2 linked regions of the Coturnix japonica genome follow. The protein of the gene in region 1 interacts with the protein of each later gene in a biochemical or structural test. Links are inferred from orthologs where the notes say so. Each region holds a gene or a part of one and is shown on either strand. Other genes may lie near its edges. The genes, in order: CRYAB and CRYBA1.

Evidence for each region.
Region 2: the proteins of CRYAB (region 1) and CRYBA1 form a complex in vitro, tested with the Homo sapiens proteins (2 studies listed by BioGRID and IntAct, with this or other methods). The link is inferred for Coturnix japonica from reciprocal best matches to the Homo sapiens genes CRYAB and CRYBA1.

The regions. Positions count from the first base shown.
Region 1 is NC_029539.1:5,449,326-5,453,690, forward strand, and holds the start of CRYAB (alpha-crystallin B chain), read left to right. Parts: upstream 1-1,399; 5' UTR 1,400-1,602; coding exon 1,603-1,800; intron 1,801-1,876; exon of another isoform or gene 1,877-2,810; intron 2,811-3,345; coding exon 3,346-3,468; intron 3,469-4,365. UniProt on the Homo sapiens protein: May contribute to the transparency and refractive index of the lens. Has chaperone-like activity, preventing aggregation of various proteins under a wide range of stress conditions.
Region 2 is NC_029534.1:4,739,937-4,744,310, forward strand, and holds the start of CRYBA1 (beta-crystallin A3), read left to right. Parts: upstream 1-1,461; 5' UTR 1,462-1,561; intron 1,562-1,584; exon of another isoform or gene 1,585-1,705; intron 1,706-2,295; 5' UTR 2,296-2,462; intron 2,463-3,224; exon of another isoform or gene 3,225-3,781; 5' UTR 3,782-3,940; coding exon 3,941-3,971; intron 3,972-4,374. UniProt on the Homo sapiens protein: Crystallins are the dominant structural components of the vertebrate eye lens.

The sequences.
Region 1 (4,365 bases):
TGCAGGCTCTGACTGCCGGCGGGGTGCAATCCTGCACCCCCTGGCTCTCCACCTTGGGCAGGGAACAAGAGGCAGGAACAGGGCACCCAGCACTGCCCCTGCCAACCCAGCAGGGCACAGGGCTATGCCTAATGGTGGCTGATGCTTGGTCAGGTTGTGTGCAGTCATGCAAAGTCATCGCTGTGAGTTTATCGCTCATATCAACCCCACAGAAAGGGATCTGTTTCCCCCAGAAGCTGAGTCTTTTGTTCCTGGGAGTGGTAAGGTGCTGCAGACCGCTAAGTGGCACTGAACAGGGTGCAGACCATGATGCTGACACTCCAGAACTGTGCCACTGTGAGCCAGCTGACCAGGCTGTGCCTTGGCCAGGGCTTCAGTGCTGCTCAGTGGGACCAGAGAAATGCCTGTGCTGGAGGTGGTGCATTAACCAGAGTCTGAAACTGGCCTAGATCCACTTTTACTAAACTGGGTGTTAGTACCCATTTAAGCTCCTTGTACTCTGAAACCAGAGATTTCCATGTCTCTGCAGTGCGAGAGAGCAGGTGCACTACTGCTGACGTAACATGGAACTGGATAAAGTATTTATGGCTGGGGCTTCTGCAGAGAGAATTCTACACCCTAATCTTGCAGGCAAGTGAACAGGAAGAGAGTCGAGCCCTTTTGCAGGGGACCGGTGGTGCTAGCAGTGAGAATCATGTGCCCTCAAGCCAGAAGTCTGTATTTAAGTTGCAGATAATCAGAGCTCTTGTCCTTAAAGGACAGCTGCTGGGCTGAACCCAGCCTCATGATCTGAACTGATAGCTGCTGGGCACAGGCAGATCAAGGTAGTTTGCATCCCAGAGAAGGCAAGCAGTGGTGCAGCTCTGCAGGGCTGCTGTGTGCCTGCTTTATCTCTGCTCACAGGGTGCTGGGCTCTTCTGCCCTCTCCAGCAGAGCGATTTCTCGAGTGGGCAAAGGACAAGAGTTGTCAGCTGATGCTCTGTGGAAACCATCCTTAGTGTGCACACACCAGCAGGTGCTCAGGTATGGTGCTCACCAGGCTGCAGAGCTGCACACCAGGGTACCTCAGCACAGACCTTTTGGGGTCCATGTTGCCCTCTCATTAAGGCCTGGGGCTTCCTTCACTTTAAGGGAAGGCAGAGCCCTTCCTTGGCGCGTGGGTGCAGTGGGGAACTGTAGCCTTGGTGCCGTCACTGGGAACAACAGTCCCTTGTCCTTTTCCATGTGAACCAAAGATAGGAGCTGCATTGATCCTGCTGGCATCCAAAGCAGCTGGGAACATCCGCCAAGCCTGCCTGGGACTCAACAGATAAACAGCACGTGGGGTGCAGAGAGGGTGGCTGGGCAGCTTGGCTTCTTGCTGTCCCATTAGTGTCCTTCTTCTCCCCTTCCCCCTCCTCCTTAGCAGTCTGTTCAAACCCCCGGACGCTCCTGGGCACTGCTGAAGGGACCAGTCCCGGACTGGGACAATAAAATCCCTGACACCACTATTTGAGAGGCCTCGGGGGGAGAGGCCCCGCCAGCCGCACGGGTATAAAGCTGCCCCCTGTGCTGGGCACAGCACCGCAGCAGTTGTTTGCTTGGCTCCTCTGTCGCACTCCGATGGATATCACCATTCACAACCCCCTGATCCGCAGACCTCTGTTTTCTTGGTTAACACCGAGCCGTATCTTTGACCAGCTATTTGGAGAGCACCTGCAGGAGTCAGAGCTGCTCCCTACGTCCCCCAGCTTCAGCCCCTTCCTGATGAGATCCCCCTTCTTTCGGATGCCCAGTTGGCTGGAGACGGGACTCTCAGAGGTAATCTTCCTTGCTTACTGTTTCTTGTTACCACTAGGTGCACATCCTGACGGGTCTGGAGCTGGGGACCCGGGAGAGCTGGGACACTGCTTGTAGGTAGTTAATAGGAAATCTATTATGAGGAAAAGAGTGCTGAGTTCTTGCCTCTGCTCCTTGGTGTTAGGCAAGGACCTCTGCACTCTCTGCTAATCACTTGTAACTGAGAGCAAATATTGCCACAGCCATGGGCACAGAGACAAACTGAGCTGTGTGTGTGCTGTGAATGACTGTAGAAGCCAGCAAGAGAAAGGAGGAAGCCTGATTTCTCTGTCTGCCCTGAAAAATTTTACATTCTGCGTCCTCCTGAGAAGCAGAGGGGCAGTGGGACCCCGTGCCAGGCAGCATGGGAGCCCCCAGATGCTGAGTAGAAAGGCCCAAGCTAAAGCATCTCTGCCAGGCAGAGCAGTGTTTTCAGAGAGATATGGGATGGGAGGACCTTTAAATGGCCATCTGCTTCGGGGGCTGAGGCACGCAGCTCAAATGACTTTGCTCAGCATGCAGGTCAGATGCCAATGTGCAAATAACTTAAAGAGTTACTCAAAGCCAGTGGAGTGAGAGGGAAGTATTTTCTTAATCTTTGCTTAATGTTTCCCTTGGTTTAGTCACCTGGTCTGGTCATATGCTGAAGCAGCCATAATAAGCACCACAGGTAACAACATCAACATCTGACTTTTTCAGTGGAGAAATCTTCACAGTAATCTAGCAAAAGGAGCAGGAAGCCCTCCAGGTAAAACTGAGGAAACCAGTAACCAGAAAGCTAGAACTGGCATGGAAGCTGCCTCCATGTCCCAAAACAGAGCTGCAGGAGGCTCGCGTTTTCCCTGACTGTGACTGCAGCAGGAAGGCAGAGACAGCCAGCCTGCATTGCCGTGTCCCACTGACTTATCCAAGACAGGCAGAAAATGCAAATTCAACCTCAGGAGCAAGCAAAAAGCAGCATTTGCTGGAGATGATAAAGTGCAGAATGGAAGGTAAGGATGCAAGATGAGCAGCAGGTGACTCAGAGTTTCAGCAGTAGCCCTGCTGCTCAGATAAGAGGGGTGAGCTGGTAGTGCTGCTCAGCTGAGACACGCTATTTTTGTTTTTAAAGAGTGACGACGCAGGGGAAAGCCTGCAAGTGACACAGATGAGCTGCAGCCAGCTGCACACTCTGTTTCTTTTTCCAGAAAGACTTAGCAAAATCCAGCTGCAGAGACTGGAAATCTCCAGACACCTCAGAAAAAGTAGATAGGAGTCAGTTTTAACAAATTCAGATTGAGAAAGTCTCTTTCTTATTTCCCAGAAAATATCTATTCTCTGTTTATCCAGAGAGAAAGCATCATGTTTTATGTGCTGTAGTGGTGGGCATGAATGGAACAGGCTAGCAAGAGCCAGATGAGAACCCCAGGACTGAAAACAGGAGGTCAGACAGTGCGTGTGGGGAGCCCAGCGTGAGCGTGACTTGCTGCATGTTGAGAGTCTGATGAAGCTGAAACCTCTGCCTGAAGTCGTCTCCTTGTTTTACAGATGCGACTGGAGAAAGACAAATTTTCTGTAAATCTTGATGTGAAGCATTTCTCCCCCGAGGAGCTAAAAGTGAAGGTGATTGGGGACATGATAGAAATTCATGGGAAACACGAGGAGCGCCAGGTACTTCTGTGTCACTGTTAACCAATGTGTGCTTCTTCACCTATGGTTAAACAAGGAAGCTGCAGAACAATCCTCCTCTGTGCTCTTCTGAAACACTTCCAGTGTTTTTGATCAACCAGTCCTAATGGAAGATGCTCTATGCAAACCCCCAGCTGATCCCAGACTGGGCAGCAGCAGAGTGGAGATTTAGTGCTGGTATTGCATGAACTGTGAACTGAACTGGAAAATCAACTTTGAAATAAGCATTTCCGGGCCTCCCTCTTTCTGGAAGAGGACAGGAATGCAGAGAAGCATTCAATAAGTTAACAATGAGCTGTAATAATTAAACCGCATAACGAATGAATGCATTGCCATGTTCCATTAGCAAGAAGCTATCTCTTCTTGAAAAAATACCCATTTACCAACTTACAGTCCTTAAAGGCTGTACTCTGCTGTCAGCCATCCCATTGCTTACTGGCTCTGTGGCAAAAGGTCAAAGAGAGGCCAAAAGCCACGTCCAAAGCTGTATGTAACAGGGATTACCTATCCTCCTATCCTTGCAAGAAGGAAACAAATCCTAAAGTACCTGTATCATTGTACCCATCAGCTCCAAAACTTCTGGGTGCCCAGATCTGTCAGTCAAATGCAGCACTACTCATAGACACTGGAAGCCTGTAATTCTGAAATAGCTTCTGCGGGGTTTTTTTTGTTTGTTTGTTTTTTGTTTGTTTTGGCTAAGAAATGAATCCAGAGCTAGAGCTGAGATGAGCTCACTGGGGAGCTGCATATGCTGTGGGCCCTGGAGACCCTCAGGAGGAGGAGCTGCTGGTTCTGCAGGTAGCTGTAACTCCTGCATCTTAGCCATGACAGCACAACACTGTGAAACGAAGCTGGCAGACACAAGAGCTGGAGGAGAAA
Region 2 (4,374 bases), on another chromosome or scaffold:
AGTTTGCTGCCTGCCCCGTGCTGTCGGTGGGAGCCCATTTGTGGCGGCCCTTTGGGGTCCCCGTGCTCCACTCGTGTTCAGTTTGGGGATGGCGATGGCTCCCAGCCTCCTTGGTGGATGCCAGCACAGGATTTCCGCACACCGAGGAGATTTAGGGGCTTTCCAACGTCTGCACGCTGCCTTGTGGACACCATTGGATGCATCAGGACAGCGTGCTACCAGCCTTTGTCTGAAGCGGGATTTTGGGGGCTTCCCATGCAAGAAGACAGCGACAGAAGTCACAGCTTGACGGCAAACACAGCCCAGTGCCTGAGAGCTCCAATGCATCACCACGGGGTGGGTGAACCTGGCACCAAAGCAGCACAACTGCACAACCTGGTCCTTACAAAACCCCACTGCCCGGTGCTGTGGGAAGGAGGGTCCAGGCTCTGGGATGCACCATGCAACGAGGTCACCGGCAGCACGAGCCATTGCATGGTTTGTGTGCTGCCCTCACTTTGCAGCACAGCCCTGCTTTGCAATGTGCCCCCCAGCAGGGCCCAGCCCACAGCACAGGGCTCAGCTGCAGCTCGTCACAGGGCAAAGTCCAGCAGCAGCACAGCACTTACACCTGGCTCAGCCCAGGGCAGGGGGTGGGTCCATCCCCCCCAACACCGAGGGACCCCGTGGGCACAAGGCCTGGGCCATGTCCTGAGCCCACGTTTTTCAGTGCTCGCCCTGAGCGCAGCTGCGGTACCGGGTGACCAAACGATTTGCATCTCAGGCTTTGCCGGCTGCAAACCGCACCGCTCCTGGACACGCGTCCTGCCAGCCCTCACTCGCTCTGTATGCTGCACCCCAGGCAAAATAACACGGGGACAAACCCCGCTGCAGCCACAGCCCCTCCGGCCCCATGCTCTACCCAAAGCGCCCCTCGGGCAGCCCGCAGCCCCCTCCCAATGCTATAGAGATGGGCGAACGGCTTTACAATGTCATTCCGTAACGGTGCGGCCGGGGGGGGGTTGGTGGCAGGCCGGGGGGGTGCGCACCCACGGCACGGGCACCCACTGGGGACACAGCAGCCCCCCCTGCGGGTCACAGCCCGGCGGGGTGCGGGGTGCGGTGCCCCACAGGGTGGGTTTGGGATGGGGGGGGACGCAGCATTCGCAGCGCGGGGGGAGGAAACGCGCACGCGGGGACGCGCGCACACGCGCACAGCGCTGCGGCCCGGCCCGTGCGGGGGGTGCAGGAGCGGCGGCTCCGCCCCGGTGCCGGTGCCGGTGCAGGAGGCGGCGGGTGCGGCGGGCGCTCACTCACCCGGCGGTGGCGGCGGAGCGGGGCCCGGCCGTGGCGGTGCGATGCGGGGCGGGGCGGTGCGGGGCGGCGGTGCCGGGCCCCGGCGGCGGCGGCGGCGGCGGCGCGGGGCGGGGCGGGGCGGCTCCGCACCGGGGCGGGCACTGCCGGCTCTGCGCGCGCCGCCCGCTGCTCCGGGTGCGGCCCCGAACGGAACGGAACGGAACGGGATGGAACGGAACGGGATGCAACGGGATGGAACGGGATACAACGGACTGCGGGGCTGCGGGTGGGTGTCCGTGGTGACCGGTAACGCGCACAGCCCGGTGCCCGCCTCCACCCGCTGGTTGTGCACACATTGGGGGCACCCTGCAGGGCACGCACCTGTTCACAACGCGGGTTGAACACACACCCCCCTCCGTTCCCCCTCCCGGTGAGCGCAGTGGGTTGCACGCACACCCGCATTGATGCACATACAGGGTGCAGCTGAGATGCTCCGTTTAGGAAGGGAGCAGCAAGGAGCGGAGCTGTGAGCCTGCAAGGGGAGGGTCAGCATCCCCATGTGGGCACAAGGATGGAGCTGGAGGCCCCGCAGCAAACCACGAGCCTTTGCTGTGCCCTCCCACTCGTGTCAGTGGGGTTTAAGCACAGCCCAAGCCCAAAAAGGCTGCAAAAAACCCCCCACGTGGCCCATCCTGAGCACTGTGAGAGCTGTGAGGGAGCAGGGACCACCCCATAGACAGCCACAGGGACAGCAATGTGGCCCTTCTCATAGTGTGCAGGGGCTCCCGGAGCATCACACACCTCTGCACGGCCACGGAACACGGCCTGCAGCCCAGCACACACATGCAAGATCCCACTGGATGCCAGCAGCTTCCTCCAAGCACGGGGCTGTGCCAGCCATTGGCAAATCCTGCACTGCACGGCATTCCAAGGAGCAATGGCCCTGCGCTGGGCTGGGGGGAGGCATCTGTTCCACAGCACCACGGGGCTTTGCTAAATAGGTCACTGCTTTTTTTATAGGCTCCAGGATCTAGAAAAACCAGTTGTTCCAGACTGCCGGCGGACCTGGCAACGTGCTGCTGGTGCTGGTGGATCCCCAGGTGCTCTCACCGCCGTTCTTCCCACTGTCCTCAGCCATGAGGGTCACAGTGTGAGTGGGATGATGGTGGATCCCTGAGCAGCACTGGGTGAGGCTGTGGAACAGGCAGAGGTGTTGTTTGGGGCTGGCTGCCCGCTGCAGGCTGTGCCCATGGGCTGTTTGCAGTGTGGCTGCACGCTGCCGTCCAGCCCTGTATATTTATTCTCATATGCCGGCTGCAGGGTGAGCTCTCCCTCTAGTGGCACCCAGCTCCTGGATAGCCAGCCCTGTGGGGTTGTACGCAGGGCATGCATGGGGGCTGTGGGGTGCTGCGGCCATGCTGTGCTCTGCACCCCTATGGTGACCCCTTTGGGAGCAGCAGGACAACCCCCACACCGCCATCAGTGGCCTCGTCACACTCAGATCTCATCCCCACAGTTCCGCTCTACCACCCTGACCCCATTAAATACAAGGGGCCACACAGCACCCCAATGCTGCCCCTAAAAGTAATGGCACCCCATCTCCCTGCAGGCACCATCCCAGCCCTGCTGGATCCCCGCAGGCCTCGCGCCAGGCCGGGCTGCGTTCCGCGCTGACAGGGCGCTTTGTTTTGTGCCGAGCAGACAAAAGGGGCAGTCAGACGCGGGCGGCGCTTTGTGCTGGCGGCCATGAGCTGAGGCAGCAGCAGTCCTCACTGCCACGCTGCCTCCCAGCACCAGCAGCCATGGCAGTCCGGGCCTGTGCCCACCATGGTGCCCCTGGATGGCTGGAAAGGGGAGCAGGGCCTGTTTGCCATGGTTACTGTGAGGCTTTGGGCCTAGCTAGGCCTCACTGTCATAGTTAATATAGGGCTTCAGGGCCAGGTAGGCCTCATTGCCATAGTTACTATGGGGCTTCAGGGGTAGCTAGGCCTCTTTGCCATAGTTACTATGGGGCTTTAGGCCTAGGTGGGCCTCTTTGCCATGGTTACTGTGGGGTTTCAGGCCCAGGTAGGCCTCGTTGCCATGGTTACTGTGAGGCCTAGCACCTCTGAGGCCCATGGCAGCCCCGTGCCCTCACAGGCTTGGCATCATCTATGGGCCCAGGGAATGAGCAATGGAGACCAGGAGGCCCCGCAGCAGCTCCCACCACTGCCCCACATCCTGCTGTGGTGTGAGGAGGGCTGGAGGATTCAGCCACATCATGGTGTCCTCGCTGCCCACACAACACACAGGGCAGGGGGACCCCAGACGGTGCCATGCTGCTTCCCACCTGCCCCCCCGGGCCAGGCCAGCCCCGTGACGGCGCTGCATTGCCCCTGGAAAATGCCAGAAGCGTCAAACTGTTGAGTCATTCACTCCCAAGATTATCTGTACAAACAGCCGTTCCCGATTATTTTTGTTATGATCTTTTTATTTTCCTTTTCTTTTTTTTTACCCCCCAACCAAGAATGTAGCCCGGACCATGGGGATGAGCTGCTGAAATCTCCGGGGATCAGCAGGACAATGCCAGTGGGAGCATTGTGCTGACTGCTCTGCAAACGCTGGCACCGGCTCCGGGCCAGCAGCACCCTATAAAAGCTGAGCCGCTGAAGTAGGCAGACATGACATGGGCGAAGCAGCTGTACCGCCTGAGCTAGGTGAGTCCTGGGGTTGGCCTGCCCCATCCCAGCCCCGCTCGCCCCGTTGCTGCCTGGCGCAGCCCTTCCTCTGCCCAGTGGCAGGAGAGGTGCCCAGAGGGTGACATGGCCCCATTGGCACAGTGGGTGGAGGGCAGCCCCATAGCTAGGGGCAGGTCCACACCCTACTGGCATGGCACCCTACTGGCACCCCAGGCTGTGAGTTCCTGCCATCCCGACACTCCTGAGGAAGGAGTGCTCAAGGGAGGAACAAGAAAGGCAGGGATGGGAGCGGGGGTCTCACGGACCCCCCAAAGCACAAGGCAGGCTGCAGGAGGAGGGAGCCCACGGCTGTGCCCCTCAGGCTGTTCCGCAGCTGACGAGGGTCTCGCTGGGAGCAATCAACAGGGTGTTCTGCAGCACC